Linked DNA regions of Bombyx mori. The protein of the gene in region 1 binds, or shares a complex with, the protein of each later gene. Links are inferred from orthologs where the notes say so. Each region holds a gene or a part of one and is shown in the gene's direction. Other genes may lie near its edges.

Region 1 (4,246 bases):
GATATGTCACTTTCGGAATAACTGTCCTAAATTGGTGGCTACCGATTGCTTCTTTGACTTCGGTATAGGTAATGGGTCGTAACGCGTCGGAGGGTGGCAAGAAAGCTCTGCGCTCGACTTCCCCGTCACGGTGTGTTCGGGGTCCGCAGATTAAGCATTGGTGGTACACTGCTCTAGCAGTGCATCGGTTAATGACTCTACCTTTTCATTATCATCGAGAGCCGGGGGATGTCCTGAGGGGCAAACTGGCGATATATATGTTTCCTGTGACTATATCCTGTTCTTGTTCCTATGACTATAGTTTCCGATTTGAGTGTCCTAGCTAGTCGCCAGTACCTTTGGGATGAGGGCGCGAGTCTTTCTAAATAACTTTCCTACCTTGTATTTCGGGCTTCGTCTACGCGAGATTTGACATCCCACTGTAGACGATACATCCGAATCCGGTTTGATTCGGTGGGATGACGATCATAAGCCCCGATTGATGCGTTTCTAACTTTTAGGAGATTCCTGGGCTCGGGGGACAATCTGATGCGATGGAAGAAGTCTTCCTCATTGACTTGATGGGATGCATTGCCCATCGTGGTGGACAGATGGTTTGTCAGGATGTCTATAGATTCGACGATGTCCTGAGGGGACGGGGTGAAATCCAGGCTATAAGAGAGGATTGGTTGGGAGGCTTCTGCAAGGCTGGCGCTCAGTTTCTGCCAATCCACCGTGAGCCTCGTGACTGGTGTAAGGACGACGGGGTTGCATGACGACAAGTCGGTAGTCGGAGCTTGTTGGCACTGTCGAAAGTTTTAGACGAGACGTCTGCAACCTTAATCTTACACAATGAGCTTATTTCTGATGCGTAATAATGTATTTGGTGGTAAATGTAGTAATGTGTAATAAAGTTTTAATGTTATTTTTTTTTTAGAACTCTGAAGCGTTTCTTTTTGTGTTCACGTACTGCTTGTAATGTTTTGTGCTGGTGTACATCATGTTGGTACACGATATATAAAGAAATAAATAAAATACCACCAGTAATTACGCACGTTTCTATATTTTCCGATTTGATGTTCATTTTTTTTTTATTGCTTAGATGGGTGGATGACCTGATAGCCCACCTGGTGTGAAGTGGTTACCAGAACCCATAGACATCTATAACGTAAATGCCGCCATCCACCTTCGGATATGAGTTCTAAGGTCTCAGCATAGTTACAACGGCTGTCCCACTCTTCAAACCGAAACACATTACTGCTTCACGGCTGAAATAGGCAGAGTGGTGGTACGGATTTACAAGAAAAAAGGTATATCTTGTGGATTTATAAAAATAAAAAATAGGTATCTACTTAATTAATGGTTGATAAAAAAAAATAACAAGAATATTTATTGATTTTTTTACGACTCGCAAATGGTGTTATGCAGTCATAAATGATGCATGATCAGCAAACTTATCCATAATGGTTCTCCATCATCAACATGTAGAAATAAAATAAACTTTAATATTTTTGACATTTTGTAATTTTAATTGCTATCGTACGTAGGTAAAAGGGTACGAAACATCCAATGACGTTATTAATTGAAAAAAAAAACACGTACATAAGTTTCTTATCTTGATAATTGGTAATGTTATGTTAAATAAAACAGCGATTGTGCTTCATTATTAGTTTTAAGTCAGTCTCAAGATGGCGTTGAAGACCGGAGCAAGTTTTGTCAAATTAAATGCTTTTCGACGGGCTGCTAGGGTGAGTTATTTTAAAATTATTAACAAAATGAATTACAACAGTATTTTAAGTATAAAAACATACCCTTGACAACATAACGATAAGAAAAGTTGATGATTTTGATTTAATCTTTATTTTTTGCCTGATAACCATGTTGTTTTACATTTCATCACAAAGTTTATTTACAAGTTAAAATGTTCCCTACCTAGATGAACATAAAGTTGAATTTTGTATGAACAACAATATTTTCGAGAATCAGTGCAATCGTAAACTTTTGTATTGGATTTTTGAAAACAGGCTATCGATGTCAAAAGTAGTGATGTGAGAAAAAGATCGATAACAAATATCGTGAAATGGGTGAGTTCATTAATAGGGCGCAACAAATTTGTATTTATAGGAATTCCACCATGTGTTTTTAAGACTCAATTCCATTTTAGCTTTTGTCGACGCGTACGAGGCCCGAAACGGCACAGAATGGCGGTGGTAAGATAGCAGAATTTCCTGGCGCAAGAGCACCGTACGTGAGTGAAATGAAATTCTTCAACGAAACTAGTTATGAGCCAATTCCGATTTATCGAGTTATGGATAATAACGGACAGATCATCGACAAAAATGAAGAACCGAACTTGGATAAGGCTACGCTGATTAACATGTACAAAACCATGGTACAACTGAGCCATATGGATAAAATTCTATATGAATCACAAAGGTAATTTCATTCGCTTTTAGTTTTATAAAACACATTTTTAGATACTGGCCAAAACCCAGCTGTATAGTATAGTTATTTTGATTGCTCGATTGAATCTGGTTCATTCCGGAATTATTGAAGTCCACGGGTACCGGTGATAATTTACCATCTAGTGGATCGTATGCTCTTGTGCCCATAGCGGCAATAAAAAAATTATTACTTTGCACACAATTAACAAAGGCCTCAGAACCGCGGTGGACGCAGGCCGCTTCAACCCGTCACATCGCTATGGATATTTTATAGAAAAGATCTTCAGCGGTGGATCTTATAGCTGACATGATGATTTGTATTGATTATTTCACAGACAAGGCCGCATTTCATTTTATATGACCAACTACGGCGAGGAGGGCATCCACATAGGCAGCGCCTCGGCACTCTCACCGAAAGATTTGGTCTTCAGTCAATACAGAGAAGTAGGAGTGTTTTTATACCGAGGGATGACTGTGACGGAACTTGTGAACCAGTGTTACGGAAACTGCGAGGATCCGGGGAAAGGGAGACAGATGCCGGTCCATTACGGAAGCAAGCACCACAACATGGTCACAATATCTAGTCCATTAGGTAATAAATTCTAAATAGTGGTGGTTCTAAGTGGTTTCGTTCGACAGACGTACTTGACTTAGCGTTGAGCGATAATTATAGTCCACTGTATATTGTATTGTGAGTACATAGGGGAAGTTCATTTTGCCTTTAAAATCTAACGGCATCATTTGACAGCAGATTTGTAAAGATAGGTGCACTTTTAGGTACAACTTAACTATTCACGTATTAGATAAGATATTAGTTTAGCAATTAGTAAGTCCATGGATTGCTAAGAAGTTCTTCTCAGTATGTACATGAAATGTTTTTTATCAGGAACACAAATGCCCCAGGCTGTTGGAGCCGCTTATGCCTACAAAAGAGTTCCGAATAACGACCGCTGCGTGATCTGCTACTTCGGTGACGGCGCTGCCTCGGAGGGCGATGCTCATGCGGCTTTCAACTTTGCCGCTACGTTAGATTGTCCTGTTATTATGCTGTGGTCAGTATTGCGAAATTTAATCATAGGTGTCTTTAGAAAACGTCATTATTTCATCATACGAGTCATTCGAGACTGTACCTACGCTATGTTCTGAAACTTGTGTGAAAACGTCTATGTATCGTTATAATTTCAATAACTTGTCACCGAATTTTTTCGAGAAGTAGGCATGATCCAAAAGAAGAAATCACTCATGGACATCCTACTCGTGGCCTTTCGCACGGCCACACGCACGGAACTTGGCGATACAGCGATACCACGACTTATTACCAAACTACAGCTTGTCGTAAAATACGTGGAATTGTTGAAATTTCTTTAGCAATCATTGTTTTCTTTTTACTGTACTGTTTTATTATTTTAACTGAGGGTAGGATATTTTACATTTTTTAGATTTTTATAGGTAGCAGGTCAACCATGACGCTACTACCAGTCTTACTTTAAACGGTAGGCAGCGGCTTGGCTCTGCCCTTGGTATTGCTGACGTCCATGAATGACAGTAACCACTCACCACCAGGTGGGCCGTATGCCGGTCTGCCTACACCGGCAATAAAAAAAATCTACACAAAATTATTTTAACGCAATTAAGTCATCGGCTGATGTCCCAACATATGAGTCCGAAGTGACGGTATTCACGTAGTTATGTCAGTGGGCTCTCATAATCACTTCAAGCCGTGCATAAAACAAAACCAATAAAATATGTTGAATTCAAATCTCAACTATACCTTCCGCTTGCAGCAGAAACAACGGCTACGCGATATCTACACCCACAAGCGA
Region 2 (4,049 bases), on another chromosome or scaffold:
AATTAAACAAAACAACAAAGATTTTTTTTACTATTAGAATGATCCATCGTTCTATTGTACTCAAAAAGTGCCGTGTTGATTAAATTTTAATCAAGGTAATAAAGTAAAAAATTATAGGTATTACGTTTTTATAAATTATATTAGGTACTTCATTATAATTTAAAACGCGGTGCGGCCTCAAAATGAATAAATACAGGTAAAATGCAAAGTAAATACAAAAATCAATGCAAACCCTACTTATGTACCAACTACTTATATTTTATAATGTCATTAAAAAATACATTATAAACAACCATTAACAAATACAATTTTATTATTTAATAAAATTAGTTTTATTTATAAGGCAAATAATTAGGTACAAAAATTTAGCTTCACTTGGAGGATTACACTTATTAAAATGTAGATAATGATGTTTCAATCCAATTTGATTACCCTATCTACGAAGTTGTTTGTGCAATGGTATTTGCTAGTAGCTAAATAAAACCCTGAAAGCAACATCTATTGCTCAACAGAAACCAGCAATTCATAGCAAATTCATGAATTTTCGTGTCATTAATTTAAACTTTTAAATTTTTGAAATGATAACCTGACAGACTATACTATGTTAATTATACTATGGTTAGTTATTATACTTATATTAGTACTATGTTAATTAAAATATATGCGAACAAAAACTACTCAATATTATGTGACTTTTGGCAGTGGGAACTTTCTTTTTACTAACACTTATGCATGGAATATTCAATGAGATATTTGATGTGGTTTTGAGAAATTGCCTAAGTGTGATTAGGGAGCTATTTTGGCCTATTTCCAGCAGAGGACGTCGGCGCCGCGGCATGGGCAGTCTGAAAAAAAAATTATATAGCTAAAATCCTGGAGATTAAACTATTCGAATTCTTCAAACCCATAGAAGTTTAAGTACATTACAATTGAAGTAGGTTTGAAGTTGAAGAATTTTATAACAACTAAGATAACGTAGAGAGTTTTGAACTGGGTAGATTTTTTTCTCTTAAGCTATACTAGCTAAACTAAGCAAATATCTATACTCAAATAATGTATAGTAGTAGTAGCAGTAGTGAACAACAATAAATGTAGTGTAATGTATCATATTAACAAAAAGCTTATTAGGGATTCCGCTGTAGTTACCTATATCAGGTTGCCTGATAGCTTTTCGACGCTAGTTTGGTTTTGGAAACCTTACAATATTCGAAGTAGGACAAAAAACGACAGTGACATCTTCTCGTTTTATTGAAAACGTCAACGTCAACGTCAAGAAAATTTAGTAATGTTATTGTTGAATTTTCGGATTCGGCACATAACGCGAAGTGTCGCGAAGCGGTTAAAAACGAATAGTTTTTCAATTTACTGAAATATTCTGAAGATTGGATAATTAATGTTAGGTTTATTTTGTGTGCATAATATGTTAATGATAGGCTCATTAAAATTTTTTTAGAAAACTTCGTTAATTTGTTTAAAATGTAAATTGAACTCATTTTAATAAAGTATTCTCGAAGACCAAAGTTCGTGCCGGTATTGCCGTCACTACACTTGTTTCGAAAGATAAGATATTTGAAAGTAAACATTATCCCGTACAAATAGAGTCGAAGTTGTAATAAAAACTGAACTTCAACAAGTAGGAAAACAATACTGACTAACGCGAGAAAATGCTAATTCTTTCGTCACACACTTTATCAATGATTCTTAATCAAAGCAAAGTTAATTACGTTAGTAGATAACAGCTTATTACCCAATTCAACAGTCGTTGGATTTCGTGACGTTAAAAATGACAAGTTTAAGTACAAAAAGTATTGTGTTCCATAAATTAATTCGAAATGTTAATAACTACGCTAAAAGAATGTCTTCACATTTTATTTATTATCCAGATAAAGAAAGGCCAGTAGATGGTGAGTGTGACTTGAGATTTTTATGATATATAGAGCAAACATGTTTTCATTGAACAATTTGAATTGTACTAATTTAAGTTGTAATTTGATTCATTGATCGTATAATTTATTAAATACTTTTATATTTTTGTAATTCTTAGATACGTGCATTGAAGCGCTCATAATCATATCAGTGGGTGGTTAAGAATACACATCAAATAATATCTTGTTCATAAATCAGCATTTTTGCTATTAACTGTCTAAAATCAGTTGAATAATGAGCCTGCCAGCTCTATAGTTAAACACACTTAAAATACGAGATTCTATGTGCTATTCAGGAGAAACGACAAAGATGAATATGATGCAAGCAATAAACAATGCAATGGACATCACATTGAAGAATAATCCAACTGCTGTATTGTTCGGTGAAGATGTCGCATTCGGGGGTGTCTTCAGATGTGCTTTGGGGTTACAGGTAAAAATAATTCTTAACTACAAAATTTGTCAGATAGTTCAGATCAGAGTTTAGTTTTAAAGTTTCTATTTATATTTTTAAAATGTTCAAGTCTGATCTAGTCAAGTTAGTAAGATCTAGGCAAGTTCAAGTCGAGTCCAATGTTAATATTTGAATTTAATGTAAAAAAAAAAAAAAACTGTTTTCTATGGTGGAAAAGTCAGGTGGCCAAATATAAAAATATTAATAAACATTATATTAATTAATTTTATAATTAATTAAATTAATTGCAAAATTAAGATGCACGGACTCTGACAACCACTTCAACCAGATAGGCCCAGGAGTTGATGTCTGATAGGATAAAAAATTTAATAAAATGAAATGCATTTTCAAAAATTGAAACATGGAATATCATTTATGTATTAAAAAGCATACATTTTGGTCTGGTTGCAATATTTCACACACAAAATTGGTGTAGGTTAGAGACTTATTTGCAGAGAATTGCTGGTATTTGTACTGTAGTTATAGTATACAATACAATACAATGAACAAGAATTTTGCAGCAAATTAACATCCAAATATTCAGTCCATTTTTAGTGTGTGTGAAAGTGTCATACAAACAATATCTCAGCTTCTGCAGGAAGTCCTGGAAGTGACCTGGGTAATCTAAGACCATTGCATTATAGTGAGAGAGAGAGAGAGAGAGAGAGGGAGACCATAACACAGCTACCTACATTAAAGTAACCTATTTATTCCAGGAGAAATATGGCAAGGACCGTGTTTTCAATACTCCACTATGTGAACAGGGTATTGCCGGCTTCGGTATAGGTCTAGCCACTGCAGGCGCAACTGCTATTGCTGAAATACAATTTGCTGATTACATATTTCCAGCATTTGATCAGGTAGGTAATTAAATATTGGGTATTATGCACTTTAAGGTTTCGTCATTTGTCTGATTATTTCTGTGATTCCCTGTAAGAATAATTGATACAGATATTTGATGTTCTGAGTGTAGGCACATTTTTAATTCTTGCCACAGATATATTTATATCCAGAATCCAATGCAATGCAAATGCAAAGTTATTGATGGTATTGACTTGATGATTATATGGCTATCAACATGAGATTTTTAAAAATAATTTGAATTTAGGCCATGGACTTTTCAACCTATCTATAATCAACAAGAAAATATTTTTTGGAATTTCTCAATTATATCTTAGCATAATGACAAAATCAACCCAGGGCTTGCACAATTGAATCAAGATATTATGCTGAAAATACTTACAGCAATTTTATATTTATTATTTAGATATTTTTATCTAAACTTTAATCTTTAATTTGATTCTTCATCCTCTACAAGTAACAGACTTTTCATATTTATTTATTTATTTATTTATTTATTTATTTATTTAAGGATTACCGACAGGGTTTACAGTAAGACATAAAATAACATTGACATGTATAGAGCAATTGATAACTGCAACTCTAATTAGAGGCAATCACAGCATGCATTACATTAATATATAAATAGAGATTTAACAATACTATTAATAATAATAAAAAATTAAAAACAAAAGAAAGACAACAAGGGCAGTAATGCCCGAGTACTCAGACCGAGGCTGAGGCTGAGGTTCAACAACAACTTTTTATAATTTTGTTCTTAAATATTGGAAGGGAATCGCCAAATATGTCAAGGTTTTCAACTTTTCTAA

Evidence for each region. The genes of interacting proteins can lie anywhere in the genome.
Region 2: the proteins of 2-oxoisovalerate dehydrogenase subunit alpha, mitochondrial (region 1) and 2-oxoisovalerate dehydrogenase subunit beta, mitochondrial are in contact, whole or in part, in a crystal structure (PDB 1V16), measured with the Homo sapiens proteins. The link is inferred for Bombyx mori from reciprocal best matches to the Homo sapiens genes BCKDHA and BCKDHB. Residues at the interface, in NP_000700.1 of Homo sapiens: Phe155, Leu185, Gly186, Lys187, Arg189, Gln190, Gly196, Cys197, Lys198, Phe202, Val203, Thr204, Ser206, Pro208, Thr211, Pro214, Gln215, Val217, Gly218, Ala219, Tyr221, Ala222, Arg225, Gly244, Asp245, Ala248, Asn251, Phe252, Thr255, Leu256; in NP_000047.1 of Homo sapiens: Pro89, Thr90, Val92, Asp117, Arg118, Phe120, Asn121, Thr122, Pro123, Cys125, Gln127, Gly128, Ile129, Gly131, Phe132, Ile134, Gly135, Ile136, Val138, Thr139, Asp158, Gln159, Asn162, Glu163, Ala165, Tyr167, Arg168, Tyr169, Arg170, Ser171.

The regions. Positions count from the first base shown.
Region 1 is NC_085129.1:15,377,778-15,382,023, reverse strand, and holds the start of 2-oxoisovalerate dehydrogenase subunit alpha, mitochondrial, read left to right. Parts: upstream 1-1,440; 5' UTR 1,441-1,667; coding exon 1,668-1,727; intron 1,728-2,003; coding exon 2,004-2,063; intron 2,064-2,143; coding exon 2,144-2,415; intron 2,416-2,758; coding exon 2,759-3,015; intron 3,016-3,309; coding exon 3,310-3,475; intron 3,476-4,207; coding exon 4,208-4,246. UniProt on the Homo sapiens protein: Together with BCKDHB forms the heterotetrameric E1 subunit of the mitochondrial branched-chain alpha-ketoacid dehydrogenase (BCKD) complex.
Region 2 is NC_085115.1:1,897,333-1,901,381, forward strand, and holds the start of 2-oxoisovalerate dehydrogenase subunit beta, mitochondrial, read left to right. Parts: upstream 1-1,247; 5' UTR 1,248-1,783; coding exon 1,784-1,904; intron 1,905-2,221; coding exon 2,222-2,358; intron 2,359-3,095; coding exon 3,096-3,239; intron 3,240-4,049. UniProt on the Homo sapiens protein: Together with BCKDHA forms the heterotetrameric E1 subunit of the mitochondrial branched-chain alpha-ketoacid dehydrogenase (BCKD) complex.